Caenorhabditis elegans: one gene and its partners. The protein of the gene in region 4 purifies or fractionates together with the protein of the main gene of each other region. This does not show direct contact. Each region holds a gene or a part of one and is shown on either strand. Other genes may lie near its edges. The genes, in order: rpn-13, rpn-5, rpn-7 and pbs-2.

Region 1 (4,404 bases), on a different chromosome or scaffold from region 4:
TTTTATTATCAATTGAAAATGATAACAGTTCCAGAGAACCAAAAGTAGTTCTCTGAGTGCTATACGATAAGACATCACCAGAGTAAAAATATAGAAACGAACCAGCCCAAGAAGCTCCAGCTCTTTTCTTCAAATCGATTGGCGACAGAAGAACGTATGGGCCCAAAATATTCGAGAAAATCGTCAAAAGACGATAAGCCACAGCTGCAAGAGCCACGTATCCGGCTCCAACCAAGAAGCACTGGCAAGCCATGTTACCTGGAATTTACAGAATTTCAATGGAAATAACAGGCAGAAAAGATGCAAGGTGCATAAATTATACACTATTTATTTACCGTTTTCAAGATTATCTATATCATGTAAATTGTCAGACGACTCCATTATTTCTTGTAACTATTTATTTATGACGAAAACATATGAAAACTAAAAATTTTCATGAGGTCACGTTTTTACTTTTTTGAAACTCATGCACTCCAATAAACTTTGAAAAATATAAAACTAATCGCTACTATTACGAGTTCTTTCCGAAACTTTCAAATTGATGGTAAAAAGGGTTTATTTGCAGTACTTTACAATGAATAAATAAGTTCTCGAAATGGAATAAAAATGGGGACGTCTTGAAGGTCGAATAAATGAAAGAGAGCGAAGAGAAGTGGTCGATAAACATCGCTCTACTATCTTATCACACCATTTCTGGCATGATGAAGAAATACTAAAGGGACGAGTCGGAAAAAGAGGAACACGGAGAACACAGTTTAAGGGGGAATATGCACAAAAGTGATGAAGAATTTGTTTATTCAGAGAGTTTAATCGACATCCATATCTTCGTTGTCTGGACGGTTGCGCTTTGGCTCTGGTTCGCGAGTGGCGTCATCGTCCGAGTTTTCTGCAAACAATTAACAATGGTTATTGATGTTTTTATCAAAAGTACAGAGGTTTACGGTACTGTAAAAATTGTTTTTGAAATAGCAAATGGATAGGTGTTAAGTGTTAAGAGCAGCAAAATTTTACAAGGAATGGCGCAATGGTCATAGTGCGAAAGGAAACAAAAGGACAATCACAATTAGTGACATATTCAAAAATGAGTAAAAACTCAACAACTGAGAGTGCGCCGTACCTAGCCGAGACACCGTTGCCGCAATTGAGGGGGAAAAGAAGCCGAGATAAGCGGACGGCATCACAGCTCTCCGGCAGATCGGGTTATCAACCCGTGCTGAACGAACGTGAGACTATGTTTCAGAATTTCAAGTAAACTTACGAGTCTTGGCAGCATCTTCTCCTCCCTCAGCCTTTGTGAGATTAGCAGCAAAACCACGAATATCACCTTGATTCGCGGAGCCAACTGTGGCTTCATCCATTCCGAACTGTGCAACTACTGGCCCGAGTTGACCAGTTTGAAGTGCATGTCCAAGTGTATCAGCAGCCTGAAAATAGAGAACAGTTAAAATATAATATGCTTTAAAAACCAACTTGTCTGAATTGCGGAGTTCTGACTGTCTCAGAAAGCTCCCGGGCTGGATCATCAGAAGTTGGAAGATGCGGTGCGAGCTCTTCAGCGTGGTTACGAGCAACTTCAGCAACCGTTTCATTCGACAGAGCAGTTGCCAGAGAGACTGCCACCTCTTTCTTTTGTGAGCGTCCCAAGTTGTTGAAGATTTGTTGAATCGCCGGGTTATTCAAGGAAAGTGGATTTGAAGATCCTTCCTCAGCTGCATTCGTCGAAGGCTCGCAGTCTGCTTCTGACGATGCGTCCTCTCCTCGAGGCACGGAAGAAATTGGAAGAGTGTCAGAGTTTCCGCCTTGCAGAGATTGAATCAATGACATCAATTGCCCTTGATCGATGCCTCCAAGGGGAGCATTCATGTCTGAGCTAGAGATAAGTGATCCTCCAGCAGACTGACGATCAGTGTTTGCGTTAGAACCAGCCGATCGGGAAGCAGCTGGACGAGATGTCGGCGGCTTGTTCAGAGCGTCAGTGACCTTCTTCACAAGATCCTTGTCAACGTCTGGTGTTGAATCTTGAATCCAAAAAAGCTTCATATCTCCAGATTTGAACTTGAGCATATACACTTTGCCATCAGGGCATCCAGGAACAGCTTTGAATTCAGCGTCATCGGGGAAGATTATGAGGTCATCAACAACTGCGCCAGTTTCACGATCCTTCCAGCAAAAGTGGATGAGCATGTCGTTACTTTGCTTAATGAATACCAATCCCTTTTTGGGTTCAGCAACAACTTTTCTCATAGTATCTCCGGATCCAGCTTCAAGGCGAGAGCGTCCAGCTTTGAATTCGACAATATGGCCAGAAGAGGAAGCGACCGAGCGAGTATTACTGAACATAGCAGCCATCTCTGAAATAAATAAATGAATGTTTGATAAGGAAGCTGAAAATACCAAGATGAAAAAATAGAGAACAAACTTGCAAAATTACGAGGAATGAATATCACAAATAAACTGAAGTATTGATAATTGATTTGGAAAGTAACATGTCGGACAGAAACAAATTATTTCCCGTCAAAAAAAATTAAATTCAAATAACTAGTAAAAATATAATGTCTTTTTTAATATTTAAAAGATAACTCGAATTGAAGAAACAATTGTTAACAATATTGTTCCAAATTTGGCTAAAAAAGGATGACTTTTCTCGTGGTGCATTTGCTCGTGGTGTTCAGTGCTTGCGTACAAAACGCTGTTTCCGAATGCACACCGTACATGCGATATTTTGTCACGTTTTGTGTTCTATTTTTCTGTATTTAACTTGTCCTCCGCTCGTTTTAAGACGAATTTGCCTCATTATTTTTTTACCCAATATCTTAAAAATCAAACCACTTTATTCAATACATTATTTTGACAAAATCGGTCTCTGCAAAATTTGAGAATGCCAATTACCGATTAGTATTAGTATTTTTAAAACAAATTCACTGGGTATACACGATGAGTATTAAAACATATTAGTTTAGTTGTCAATATCATCCAGTTCAAAGCTGTTTTTGCTCTTTTTCTTCATCTCCTGAGCCTCCTTCATCTGAGAGAATGGCCCACTTGCCGAACCAAGTGAGGTCTTGCTTTCCTTTGATTTCAATGTTTTCGTTTTACCCGTCTTCATAGTGGTCGAGTCGGTTGTGATGTCAACTTAAAAAGTAATTTTAGATGTCTACGTGACTTTTTTTTAAAGATCTACCGATGTTGCGCATCATAGTTGCTGCCTCAAAGATCCCGAGACCAACATTTTGGGGACTTCCTAGTCCTGGAGATTCCAAACTATTGCTCCGCTGCGAGGAAATCGTTTCCTTCTCTTTCTCCACACCACCCTTTCCTACATTCAGCGACATCGTTGACGGTTTTTGGTCGCTTTTCTTGATAGATTTTCTTTTCTAAAATTTCAGATAATCAACTATTTTTTCAACAAATTAAAAATTGACTTACCGGGTTCTTGGTCTCCATCTCCGACATGTACTCTGATAGATTGATGATTTTATGAACACTTTTCCTTCGGTTTAACTCACTTTTGTCGTTTTTTGCCTGATCCGATAGTTTCAGATCACGAGTTTTTGCATCCAGGTCATCGAAGATCAATTCTCCATTCTTCTCGGTTCTCTGGAACATTTTTTTCTGATTGAAATTCGTAACCTTGTCGGGTAACGGTTCGTTTTTGAATACAGATAAGAACAAACCTTTGCTTCTTCCTGCTTCTTCTTATGCTCGCTGAACATGGTGTTAGCCGTTAGATGGTGTAGTTTGTAGCAAGTGGCTGAAGCAAAATTGAATAAACCTTTTCTCACGATATTGAGAAAAATAATTAAATCTGAATGCTCAGCTCTAATTTTTTTGTAAAAAATTTATTTGATCAGAATAAGAAGTGATACGCGACTACCAAGAATAGAAGAAAAAATGAAGGGGCGAACGAGTTATGTGTTGAACGCCACAAATTAAATGGAGAACACTAATTTGTACTCGAATTTTGCTTTCCCGTTGACTCATGACAGTGGGAAAATGGGTGGGAGTTTTTCATGAAACTACACGAGATTTATGATAGAAGTTTAAAAAATAATGTCCTACTCAGTCTGAAAAACATTCAGAAAATTTTGGTGATTTTTTTAAATAAGAAATTGTCCAACAAAAAAGACTTTACGAGGATGCAAATATACGAAAGAAGCCTGTCTCGTTTAAAATTACTATTGGGTTCTTTTCAATATTTATATTTTTAAGTCCTTCTAGGGTCATGGAATGTGGCTTTGAAGACTCTTGTCATTCTCTTCCTGGATTGATCGTGGGAAGACCCACAAGAATAAGCCCGTTCTCAAACTTGAATTAAGAAAATTTTAAAGCAGAATGGGATAACCCGAAAAAATTTCAGTAGCTCAAACTGAAAAGCTAATCAGTCCTCGTCGTCGTCAAGAAGTA
Region 2 (4,412 bases), on a different chromosome or scaffold from region 4:
ACGACAAAATTTTGTTAAATGCAAAGGGATGTGCGCCTTTAAAGAGTACTGTACTTTCAAACTTGCGTCGATGCGGAATTTTTATAAATGAAATAAAACATTTTAAACACATACATTTAAAAAAATGTGAGAAAAACGATGAAAATGTCGCAGTAGCGAAAGTTTGAAACTACAGTACACTTTAAAGGCGCTTACCTATTTGTTTTTAACACAAATTTCTCGTTTCGAGACCGGGTACCGTATTCGCGAATACATGAATACATTTCAGAGTGTCGCCGGACTAATCGCTGGACTCATTTCAACACATGCTCTTTCTGAAATCGGATTTGAATATCTTTTCATTGTTTGTGGATGCTTCATGTTGACCTCACTTTTCCTCACTTTTATCGTCCACAAAACCGATTTAGCTCAGTTGTTGGTTTCTGCTGAACGAGAACATTTGGAAGAGGATGAGAATGGATATCAAGTTTATCAGTAATTGGTGCACTCATGTTATAGCTTCTTATCAATTTCCTAGAAAATCAACTCAAACCTGTGATGATCCATTTGTTTCCCGTTACCTCTATCTTACAACTTGTTCCATAAAATTGTTTCTTCAAAAGCTAGTAATACACATTGAGCACGTATACGTTTACTATCAAACCGAAGAGTGAAAGGATGAAATCGATCGACAGTATTAATAAATTAATGATAAAACCGGAGAAGGTGCACGAAAAAGAAGAAATTGGGGAGGGCGAACATCAATAAGAAAAATACACATGATGGCGGAATTATACACAAAAAAGTGGTTAAATTTATGCCCGTGGGGCCGCGAGATCCAAGTTCTTGTGAACCATTTGCTCTTTCAGAATGAGATGGGAAACTTTGTTCAATGTATCCGTCAGTTTGTGCACGTTGCTCGCCCATACATCCAATTGCTCAACATTTGCCTTTTTCAAACGAAGATTGACAATACGGGAAGGGCGATGAAGTTTTGCTCCGGTGATCTGACCGGTAACAATGAGGTTACACACAAATGATTCCATTTCATCAACTGGGAAGTCGAGGAGCTCAGCGAGACGTTCGAAAGTGATTTGAGTATAGTACTTGGCAATCATACGCATGTTCTGTAAAAATACAAATAAAAATTTATAAATTTTAACAGGTTTTTAACTTATTAAAATTTTAACTTACGTGCTCTCCAACACGAAGGTGCAAATCAGACCACCGCTTCTCTCCTTCAGTTGATTTGTCGAAAATTCCGGTGTCTGGTGAGCTAGTTGTTCCACGTCTTAAAAGCTTCTCGTACTTTGCGACAATGGTTCCTTTGAAAGAAATGAGTTCTTGGTTGATGAAAAGATCCAGAATGATCTGAAAAGAAAACAATAATTAGATTAAATTCAAATCGCACAGCTTACCTTGTAGTCTGGAACGGTTTCCAATTCTCTTTGAATGGCAATTCGGTTGAGGAGATCCCATTGCTCGTTTGTGTGCGGAGCCAAAAGACAGTAGACAATGGCAGAACGAAGATGTGAGGTCGCCTTGGCTGAATCAGCTTTAATCTTTTTCGTCTCATAAATTTCACGATGATGACGGCACACGTCCAGATAGTTTCCATCGTGAAGTCCGATACGGATCATCGAATCGTAGTATTTCAGCTTCAGGTTCTGTACTTCATCTTCGTCTGACTTGTTGAAGAACTTGATATTGATTTTCTTAGAGATAATAGTGGCTCGCACAAAATCATTACGAACGAGAGAATATCTCATTTGCTCGAGAAGGTATTGCACCTTCTCTCGCATTTCCATGGAGCCATATGTTTCCACTTGAAGTTCAAGAAGCATGGTTGCAGCTTCGTCAAGCTTTCCCTCTCTCTCCAACTTCTTCACAACCATCGAGGTGAGGCGAGCACGTTCCACTTCCACATAGATCTTTCCAGCTGTAACAGTGCGAAGAGTTTCAATAAGCTTCATCTTGAGGTCCTCGGTTGGCATTTTGTCAATCATTGCGACAGCATCACGGACCATCTTTGCGATAGCCATTTTGATGAGAAGTCTTTTCTTTGAAAGCGTCATGATTGTTTCCATAAGAAGATCCCATTTCTGCCCTTCGAAACAAAGCTTCGTCTGCAAATATCAGAATTAATATTTTTTTTTTAATTTGAAAAGTATTATCACCATATATTGAACAACGCGTGTATTGCTCTTCATGTCAGCTCCAAGACGAGTGAGCTTTTCGATGTTGTTCAGACTCTCTACAGCAGCAACAGCGTCCTTTTGAGCGATATCTCGGGCTTTCAGAAGTGCTTCGTCGACTTGTTTCGAGTAGTCCTGCTCCATTTTGAACAAACGACCATCTCCACCCTGAAAATCATTTAATGAAATCTACAGATAAATTCTCGAAAACGTTTTAAAACTTACATGAGCGGCCAAATGAGCCAAATTGTCAAGTTCGCTTAGTTCTCCGACATCGACCGGGTCAACCGGGATCGGTTCGCGTCTGTCGGCCATATCTGGAATAACAATAATTAGAATATATAGTTCTGCTTTTTTAATTGAAAAATAACTTCAAAACCTATAAAAATATTACTTTTAAATGCACAAAAATTTTAAAGGTAGAGAGTAGAAAATAATTATTTCTTGAGTGACAATCCGCACAGCTGAAACGAGTGTTACCGTACCTCAAATCGCGGTAAGACCCAGGAGGAGGAAGACAAAAATATTTGAAAACGATTTTTCGAGCGTTTTGTCTTCATCATCAGAAATTTACCGCATTTTCAATGTTTGCCTCATTTTAAAACTATTGCTTCTCTCATTGTGATCATTTGAACATACTTATTCTTCCAGTTTTTGCTCTTTTATCATGTTTTCTCAGGAATTTTCTAATCTATGATCTCTTTGACGTTAACAATCTATTGTTTATCTCATGCTATTTTCAGATGTTCTATGCACAGTTCGTTCTCGCCAAAAAGGGACCGTTGGCAAAAGTGTGGCTGGCAGCTCACTGGGAAAAAAAGCTGACAAAGGCGCAAATCTTCGAAACAGATGTTCCCCAAGCGATCGAGGAAGTCATTCGCCCCAAGGTTAAAATGGCGCTCCGAACAGTTGGACATCTTCTCCTTGGAATCGTGAGAATCTACTCGAAGAAGACACGATATCTTCTGGCTGATACAAATGAAGCGTATCAAAAGGTAATTAAAGATAATTTAGAACGACAAAAACAAAGTAAATTTTCAGATGAAGATTAACTTCCGCAACGGATTCAGTTTTGAAGTCGACATTCCAGAGAATGCAGAAATTGAAGAGGATTTCTCAAACTTCATTGATAAGTACAATATCACAGTGCCCGAGTTCCACGATGCCGACTACAATGAGCAGCTCATTATGGTGCGTTGTATTAAAAGCAATTCACATTCAATTTAATCGCTGTTTCAGGCTAATGTGAGCCGTCGTGAAGACATCACCATGAAAGAAACCGTCAATTTCAATGTCGAGTTCAACATTGACGCAGATTTCGATGGGTTCGGTGACGAAGGAGAATCTTGGCAACTCGATCATCTCTACGGATCGGTGGAACCTTTGTCTTTGCGCCCCACTCCTCAGCCAGAATCGTTGATGGAAGTCGAACGAGATCGTGATGTGGCTGCAAATGGAACGGAAATTTCCCGTATAGATGCGGATAGTGTGATTTTCTCCGAAGGACCAACACGTCCAAATCTTATTTTTGACAATCAGGAAGGCGGAAATTTCATGCCTGAAATGAACCTGAAGGTTGAGAATCAAACACTGGAAAACGATGGTGGTGTTGGGCCTGCTGATATGTTCAGCTCAATGATTCATCCCGTCAGAGAGCATGCTGTCGCAGATGTTCAAAACGACGATGGTATGGACTTTGACTATCAACCGTTCGAGCCTGAAAACGTTGAGCCATCGAGACCACAAAGTCCCGAGTCATTTGCCCTGGAGCCTCTAGATGTGGAGCACATGGAAGGACGGAAAAAACGTCAGAGAAAAGCGAGAAAGCTGATTGTCGATGCTGAAACTATGATTTCAAACGACGCTTTCCGAGAGCAACAAGAAGACTTCTCCGATACGATGCGAGTAGTTGAAATGGCGCCTCCTACCAGAAAGATGTTCAATTTATGCGTCAGCGGAGATCTTCAACACCTCAGCCGTGAACCTGGATGCAAAATGTTCAACAGAGAACTCCTTCAAAGATACAGGAGATGTTTGGTCACCCGAGAGTTCGATCTCAATTACACCATGCAAGAGTTGAGCGATAGTTCGAGTTTCACTCCGTCAATGGAAGCTCAAGCTGAGCCATGGGAGGACTTGAACCTCAATGAGGACATTCAAGAAGATATTCAAGCGCAGGGACCAGCCGTTGATGAATTCTTTAATGATGTGCGCATGGATGATGATGATGACAGACAA
Region 3 (4,475 bases), on a different chromosome or scaffold from region 4:
GGTTTTTTGATAGATTCATAATGTATCCATTAATGAGAATAGTAGCACCAAAGTTAGGTGTTCGTTTCATGAATTTGGGCTACTGGCCATCATCAGCACCTCAGTACGCAAAAATGAGAATGTTCATGGAAGATCTAGGTGACCTAGATGAATACGGTAAAATGAAAACACTAATCGAGGTTTCCTTGTTAATTTAAATGTTCAGAGTCGGATCGAGCTCATATTTATCTCTATGAAAAAGCATTATCAATGCATCCAAATTATCCTTATTTTGAACAATTTGAAATTCTTGAAGTGAGCTGTGGTCAAGGGTACTCTCTCGATTGGATAGAAAAGTAAGTGTCTTGCATTTTTTTTAAAACGAGAAATATGGAACACAGGTGGCATGGACCAACAAAATGCATCATTGGCTGTGATAAAGTTGTCACTAGAAATATGAATAACATAGTCTACGGAGATGCACTAGATTTACCGTTTGCAGATAATTCGTTTGATTTTGGTAGGATCATATCAAAAAATACCAAAAACATCTTGAAATTAAGTTTTGAATGTGGAAGCAGCTCATCTTTACTCGGACTACAAACTATTTTTCAAAGAGGGCTCACGAGTTTTGCGATCGGGTGGTGCCTTCTGCTACATGGACATTCGATATCCCCATGAGGTTAGTCTACTTGTAAAATTTATATAAATACAGCTAGTGATTACAGGCAAAACAGATTCAGGAGACAGCCACAGCAGCCGGTTTTGTAAAGAAACATTTCGAGTTTTGCACTGATGAAGTAGTTGAGGGCTTAAAATATTCAGCGAGAAAATATGATAGGCTACTAGAGAAAGTAAACTAGGCCAAAAGTTAAAAAATTTGTATATAAATATTTTAGGCTCCTTTCTTCGTTAAATTCTTCAAAAACTCGCTGCGAGCAACGTACTGTGCTCCTGGAACATCAACTTATGAACGATTGAAAAATAAACAGCGGATCTACATCGCAGCGATGTGGATAAAGAAATAAAGAAATGAAGAAGTGAAGAAGTGAAGAAGTGGTATTAAATAACATGTAAAAACATTTTAAAGATAATAAAACAATTGGTATTTGACCAAGAAAGTGTGAATACAGTTTTAAAAATACAGCGATGGTAATAAATTAATTCATTCAACCGGAAATGATGAAGAAGTGGGGAGATTCAAAGCGAGTTAACGCAAAGAAATAATACGGGAGAAGAAGAATAGGGTAAAATAAAAGGATTTACACGTTTGAAGAACTGGGCTCGGTTATGCATTGATAACTCTGGCAAGCTTCTGAATGCGGTTGAGCAATATATCTCCATCCTTGATAACTGCCTTGTACAGATGATTCTTCGAGTCACGATGATTCACTTCAATCACTCCGTTAACAGCATCAATACGACATTGCAATTGCCCAGTCGCAATCAGACGGTGCAATTCGCGGTCGATGAAAGCACGGGAAACACCAAAATCCTTGGCCATCATATCGATACGTACAGTCTTGTAAGGAGTCAAAAATTGTTCGTAAGCGCGATGGCGCATTCCACGAGAGTAATAGTTGAAGTGTGGCGATAGATAGCGATCAAACTTGAACTGAAATATAACGATAAGTGAAAAATACAAGATTTGTTTTAGTAACTTACTCTCTCGCTTTCAAGAGCGGCCAACTGAATGAAGAAACGATCGTAGTGACAATCATAGTATGATTCGAGATACTCACGAACTGGAATCAATGTTCCATTGAGTCCCCCTCCGGTCAGCTGTTCTTGAACTTCATTGCAACGAATAACCTTGGTACGAAGGTCTGGTCTGTCCAAAGCAAAGGTTGTGGTGATGACAGTGTAGAGAATCAAGTTTTCATATGTCATGAGCTCGTATGATCCGAATGTTGGCACAGCTTCAAGGAACAAATCAGCGGCTCCAGCAAAATCACGAACAGACATTCGGTAAAGCGCTTCGTAGGATCGAAGGCGATTTTTGCGTTCCCAGTCTCCTCCTTGCTCCATAAGTTCTTTTGCTTTGGTGATAAACTTGTTGATGAGATGATGATCGAGGAAGAAAAGTCCAACACGAATCATGGCGAAAACTACATCAATACGATATCCCATACCGACTGTCTTCTCATAGGTGGCTGTGTACGCTTTCAGAGCGTTGTCTTTGTCACCGATCTGACAGTAGTACTCGAACTTGCGGAGTAATCCCTGACGCACTTCAGATTCGCCAAGGTTCTTCTCCGCGTCTTCAACTTCTGCGGTGATTTCATCGATCTTTTTCTGATTAGCTGCTTTCATTGCAGCCAATTGTGTTGCATCTACGACAATTTTGAAGTCAGCGCAGACAAGCTCGTAGAATGGCGCCATGTCGAATTCTTTGATAGTTTCCTGAAGCTTCTCGAGCTTGGCTTCTTTCACGCTGCTGTCTACTTCGGGATGATTGAGCATGAATCTGGTTTGTGATAACTCAAGATCAGGCCATCTTGAAATGATCTGAAAACTCTGAACTTGAATGATTTCAAAACTACTGATCCGTACCTCCTTATCGAAGTTTCCATCATCTACGGGTTTCTTCGTGCTCTTTTTGGCAGCCTCTGTCATCCTCCTTAAAATGAAATATGAACACTTGAAATTGTAGCAAACGTTAAAAAGCGGCCAAAACGGAAATAAAACTGTTCAATGGTATTTCAAACGTGAAATAGCATTTTAGTTAGTTTTCATTAAATTTGCTGTAATTATCGAAATATAGATTTGGTATTAATTTTAGTGTCTAGTTTGTTAGTTTTTGAAAATAAGCGTTGATATCTATTTTAAATTCGTAATAGTGCCTTATTTTACATTACAGTGAGCGGCACAGTGAAAACTACGTTAAAATATCTATTTCATAGTGCATAAACAGACAAAACCGTATCAAAATTCAAGAAAACTGGGGGAAAAATTCAAAATGGGACGAATAAAAGTGGGCGGGGATGATGACAAGGGTTTGCAATACGCGGCGCATGCTTTCGCAATTCCGCCGCACGGTTTTATTCATCCTTTCATTATCGAGCGCTCTCGTTATTAGCGTTTGAACGCAGGAAACGGAGCATTTGTTTCGCATTCAGTTTTCAACCGCCATCCCGTTGTATTGAGAAACATGGTTAAATTGCATTTAAAAACCACCTGCCGTGAAGTCCCGATCGAAGAGATAATTTCTACTGGACAGATCCAATTCTTCAAGCATTTATCAGAAAGTACTTCCGAATTCAAAGACCAAAAAAACGTTGAACGTTTCCGTAAGTTTATTTCTTCAATTATCGATCATATTTATTTCTTCAATTATCGAATCAATCACTTTTCAGGTTTGATTTATAACGGAAGAGCATTGAATGAAGAGAGCCTAAAAAAGATTACTGATGCTGATTCAATCAGAGTCGTGCTGCTTCCACCGCTTAAAACAAATGTCAGTTTTTTTCCGTTTGAAACCCAAATTAATTTTAAGATTTTCAGAACCACATCGAAGAAGAGCAAAAAAATCGAATCAGTATTGCTCTCAAGGAGTGTACCGCCCCATATACACGCCCAAATGATCGTCGGCTTCATGGTTTCAACCACGACTTTGCACTTCCAGATCACATGACAACGCTTCTTGAGAAACACCCACAGCTGGTTCATGATAATCAATTTTTATCTGTTCTGAGTGATTGGTCATTATTCCGTGCCTATTGCGTTCAGAACGATTTCAAAGATGATCCAATTCGGGGACAATTCATGTACACGAATCCCGATTTCTTGAAAGTAGTAGAAAATATTCTATCGACAGTAGGATCTCGTTACGGATACGAAAACCTTGATTATGCAAACGTGGAAAGAAATAGACCAGGAATGCTTGCAGCTCAGCGACCAATTGGAGGTGCTCAACCGGTTACTCATGCGTTGCTTCAAAATGTAAGATTTCTTGGACACACTGATTCTCATAATTCGAAAAGAATAATTGAAATATAATAATAGTTGAATACATATTTCTACTAAATTCTCCATGCCAATTTTTTCAGGCTCTCCAAGCAGCCCTGGCAAACATTGCAGTTCCTCCGGCAAATCGGGTTCCAGCTCCCGCCAATGTCCAGCCAGCGCAACAGCAGCAAGAAGAGCCAATGCAGCAAGGATATGAACAACAAGCTGCGACTCTCCGCGAGTTTGGATTTGAAAATGATGAGCTCATTCAGTTGGCTCTCGAACAGGCGAATGGAGATGTGCAAGCGGCTATGGAGTTTCTTATTGATCTCCAAAATTAATCTACACCAATGGTTTTATTCTGTCTTCTCATTAACTTTTTCTGTCTATAAGTGTTCATAATTCGTTTTTAATGCATTCAAATTGCCCTATTCATTCGTCAATAGGGCTAAAATAATCTCATATCTGTTTAAAATAAAGCAGTGAAATGAAATCACCGTTTATTCGTCTAAATCACTCTTCTACAAACTCTTCTCTGCTTATTTAGT
Region 4 (3,651 bases):
CGTCTTGTGAAATCGCAAAATGATTTGAAAATGTTGAATTTCAACTTGAAGAAGCTTCACGTCTTCAAAATTCGATTTTACGTGAAAACAAACATTTTTGAAAGGGCCGGAACACGGCCGAATGAGGGTAAACTATGGAAAACTGATAAAATAATGATAAAATTTGGAATTTTTCGGAAAAACGACACTGATTACGACGGGGAAGGCAGGGAAATGAGTCAGAACAAGATACAAAAAAATGTTTCGCGCCAATGATTGGTGGGTGGAGCGTGTTTGCTATATGACCTGCACATCTAACTCTCTGCGCGGCAATTCAAATCGGATTATTTTTTTCTTGTGAGTTTTGACTCTTCTCTCTTGACTTTTGAGAAGAATTCAGGTGGAAATTAGTTTTTCGCAGAAAGTTTTCAATTCAGATCTGGAAAATCTATTCATTTCGCAGTTTTTTCCTTTTAAAACCCGGAGAGTAACTTTTACTATTGGGAAAAACACTTGAAAGCGTTTTTCAAGTCATTTTTCCGGCTTTCAGTCCAAATTAAGACAACAAACAATACCAGTTTTAAGGAAAATAGACAGTTTATATTCGGAATTTATAAAACAAATGTGATAAGAACTGCCGGCGGATACGAAAATACCGAAAAAAGTAATCACCGACGACACCGAAACGGATGGAAAATCGAAAAAAAATAAATAATTGGGGGAAAGAATACACACATCGACAGAAGACCGCAATTTAGTGAGTGATATCCATGGACTCGACGACGTCGTACTTGTAGGTCTTGTGTTTCAGCACCTTGGTGGCTCCGGCCTGGAATTTGTAGACGAGGTCGTTGGGCTCTGGTCGCTTGCAGAATTCTGGCACAATTGGCCCCTTGAAGACGGTCTCGCTTGGCTCGATGATCACAAGATTCAAACTGTTTCCTGAGGCGTTGTCACCGTGCATACCGGCTTCCAGGGCGCGTTGGACAAGCTTCTCGGCTTCATCTTTCTGAAAAATATAATTATAGTATTTTTAGCGCATTGGAATTCAAAAATAGACTACTTACCGTCATATCAACCTTAAAATCACGCTCCAAAATAGTGATAGCTGCATATGATCCAGATCCTTGAGCTGTGAATGGGAAGGCCATTGTAGTTCCGTTGGCGGAGCACATATAAAGATGTGGGCCAGTTGGATCGACTCCTCCAATGAGCAAGTAGGCTCCGATGTATCCTTGATAGTTGAAAAGATGCTGCTTAGCTTGACGAAGAGCGGTGATCACACGAGCCTTGCGCCCGGTGTTTAATTCCAGAAGACGGAGATTTCCAGAGAGCATCTTTGTGACTTGATCGAGATCGGCGGCGGTTCCGGCTCCGCAGGCATAGATCGACTCAGTGAGCTTGTGAACCTTCTCGCAATGCTTATCGGCGATGATATTTCCGGCGGTGGCACGGGAATCAGCTCCCATCACAAGTCCGCCCTTGAAGGCAACGGCGACGATGGTGGTTCCGGTACTGGTGAGCTTTGGAGCCTTTCCGCCCATCTTGCACATTGCCTGATTACGAATGCAGTTGGAGAAGTCGAACGCGCCTCCACGGTCCATGTCCATGTGTGGGACGGTGGATTTGACGTCAGCGGTGGCCATTCTGGAATTAATGTTGTATTTGAAAAGATCTCACAAAACATTTTGAGAAAAAAAAACAATAAAAATGACAGGAAAAATACGGAAAACCATCTAGAAAAAACTGATTAACGAAAAACTTCGATTTCCCTGATTTCTGCTGTCTCACAAGTGATTTTCTGCAGATAACCTATTCAATAGCGAACTTCCACTTAATTTCTACAAATTTTTAATCAAAAATACGCTAGAAAAGCAGGAAAAATGGTGGAAAACTTCGAAAAATGTTGGAATGCTGACAAAAAGATTTTTCAAAGTCATCGCAACGACACTCCGAAATAACGCAAATTTGTAGAGTTCCGTGGAGCGTGTTTGCACCAAAAAATTTCCGTTAATTTTATTTTATTTTTCAATTGAAAATCTCTGCCTAAAACTTTTAATCTTAAGTTTTTCATTGACTTTTTGAGTTTTAAAATTCAAAAATTGAATTTTTCGTTCATTTTTAAGTAATTTCATATAAAACTGCCTATAGAAAATGAAAATTCCCTGTTATTCAATATTGCACAACATTTCGAAGCTCCGCCCATTTGTAGTTTGTATTTGTCTTGCTAACACCCATTCTTTCTCGTTTTTCCAATCAATTTTTACTATTTTCTCGATATTAAATCAATTAATTTTCAAAAAAAATTCCAGTTTCCCGGTTGAAAATGGCTCTCCGCGTCGATTACGAAGGATCGAACGATGTCGGTGTGTTCTGCACCCTCACCAACAGCTACTGCCTCGTCGGCGTCGGTGGCACTCAGAACTTTTACAGTATTTTGGAGGCCGAGCTCAGCGATCTCATCCCAGTCGTGCACACGTCGATCGCCTCGACCAGAATTGTCGGAAGACTTACAGTCGGAAATCGTCACGGACTTCTCGTACCAAACGCCACGACTGATCAGGAGCTTCAACACTTGAGAAACTCGCTTCCAGATGAGGTATGCGGGCAGGAAATTGAGAATAAATATTTAAAATTTGAATTTTCAGGTCGCAATTCGCAGAGTTGACGAGCGTCTTTCCGCTTTGGGAAATGTTATCGCTTGTAACGACCACGTCGCTATTGTTCACGCAGAAATTAGCGCAGAAACTGAGCAGGTAAGGAGAAATCCTACAGAACTGCGACTTTCAGTGTGATATTCCCACTTTTTTAATCGAAAGTTAGTAAAGAATCGTCGAAAAATGTTCGATTGTTCTGAAAATGATATTTATTTTTTGTTCAAAAGTTCGAAAAAGACCCAAACTTTAGTCGGAAACGGACAATTTTCATAACTTTCTTATTAATTTTTGATTCAAATGCTTGGCTTAACATACTGAAATTAACAATGTTCACACTACAAACTACAAAAATTCCTAAATTTTCTCTTTCAGGCGCTCGTCGAAGTGCTCAAAGTGGAAGTATTCCGTGTCAGTCTCGCCCAAAACTCGCTCGTCGGCAGCTACTGCATTCTCAGCTCTAACGGTTGCCTCGTGGCCGCCCGTACTCCACCAGAGACCCAACGAGAAATCGCCGCTCTCCTTCAAATCCCAGTCGTCGCCGGAACATGCAACCGAGGATCCGAGCTCATCGGAGCCGGTATGGTCGTCAACGATTGGGTCGCATTTTGTGGACTCGACTCCACTTCTACCGAACTGTCCGTCGTCGAATCGATCTTCAAGCTCGGCGAGCAAGGAGCTCCGACAAGCATCAGCAATCAGCTCAGAGATACTCTGATTGAGAGCATGCTCTAATCTTTTTTCTCACTATTTTTTTGATCTACCATTCATTGTTTTCCCACCTTTTTTGTTGTTGGTTTCCCCGTTTTTTGTTGTCAATGAAAAAACCCCTGAAAAATTCGAATTTTTCTCTCTTAATTCCTTCTTTGATGTCAAATCCTCACAAATTTATACCTTGAATTTCACTTTTAAAAGTACTTTTTACACGCTATAAATTTAATTTTCGCTTGATTTCAGAAGAACACACATCAACTAAACCTACTAGGTGAGTTGGACTCCACTACAAACTACACACAAA

The links.
Region 1: the proteins of pbs-2 (region 4) and rpn-13 fractionate together in Caenorhabditis elegans (co-fractionation; one large-scale study listed by BioGRID). This does not show direct contact.
Region 2: the proteins of pbs-2 (region 4) and rpn-5 fractionate together in Caenorhabditis elegans (co-fractionation; one large-scale study listed by BioGRID). This does not show direct contact.
Region 3: the proteins of pbs-2 (region 4) and rpn-7 fractionate together in Caenorhabditis elegans (co-fractionation; one large-scale study listed by BioGRID). This does not show direct contact.

What each region holds. Positions count from the first base shown.
Region 1 is NC_003281.10:6,339,575-6,343,978, forward strand, and holds rpn-13 (Proteasomal ubiquitin receptor ADRM1 homolog), read right to left. Parts: upstream 2,355-4,404; 5' UTR 2,350-2,354; coding exon 1,471-2,349; intron 1,425-1,470; coding exon 1,259-1,424; intron 1,214-1,258; coding exon 1,118-1,213; intron 887-1,117; coding exon 807-886; 3' UTR 539-806; downstream 1-538. Other genes in the region: Very-long-chain 3-oxooacyl-coA reductase let-767, read right to left, coding at 103-258, 336-381; C56G2.9 (DUF4604 domain-containing protein), read right to left, coding at 2,957-3,132, 3,182-3,374, 3,427-3,458, 3,507-3,597, 3,675-3,713. UniProt on the Caenorhabditis elegans protein: May function as a proteasomal ubiquitin receptor. May promote the deubiquitinating activity associated with the 26S proteasome.
Region 2 is NC_003280.10:4,695,804-4,700,215, forward strand, and holds rpn-5 (PCI domain-containing protein), read right to left. Parts: upstream 2,492-4,412; 5' UTR 2,490-2,491; coding exon 2,400-2,489; intron 2,343-2,399; coding exon 2,157-2,342; intron 2,106-2,156; coding exon 1,398-2,105; intron 1,351-1,397; coding exon 1,174-1,350; intron 1,107-1,173; coding exon 795-1,106; 3' UTR 618-794; downstream 1-617. Other genes in the region: F10G7.5 (MFS domain-containing protein), read left to right, coding at 269-478; scc-1 (Sister chromatid cohesion protein 1), read left to right, coding at 2,918-3,169, 3,216-3,365, 3,414-4,412.
Region 3 is NC_003282.8:9,314,763-9,319,237, reverse strand, and holds rpn-7 (26S proteasome non-ATPase regulatory subunit 6), read right to left. Parts: upstream 2,600-4,475; 5' UTR 2,596-2,599; coding exon 2,533-2,595; intron 2,488-2,532; coding exon 1,645-2,487; intron 1,595-1,644; coding exon 1,268-1,594; 3' UTR 1,008-1,267; coding exon of another isoform or gene 879-1,007; 3' UTR 834-878; coding exon of another isoform or gene 708-833; 3' UTR 662-707; downstream 1-661. Other genes in the region: nemt-1 (Methyltransferase type 11 domain-containing protein), read left to right, coding at 1-156, 206-335, 381-499, 543-661, 708-833, 879-1,007; F49C12.9 (UBA domain-containing protein), read left to right, coding at 3,131-3,269, 3,336-3,436, 3,484-3,921, 4,029-4,268. UniProt on the Caenorhabditis elegans protein: Acts as a regulatory subunit of the 26S proteasome which is involved in the ATP-dependent degradation of ubiquitinated proteins.
Region 4 is NC_003279.8:12,966,655-12,970,305, forward strand, and holds pbs-2 (Proteasome subunit beta), read right to left. Parts: upstream 1,627-3,651; 5' UTR 1,626-1,626; coding exon 1,047-1,625; intron 989-1,046; coding exon 734-988; 3' UTR 562-733; downstream 1-561. Other genes in the region: eif-6 (Eukaryotic translation initiation factor 6), read left to right, coding at 2,306-2,578, 2,628-2,735, 3,009-3,368.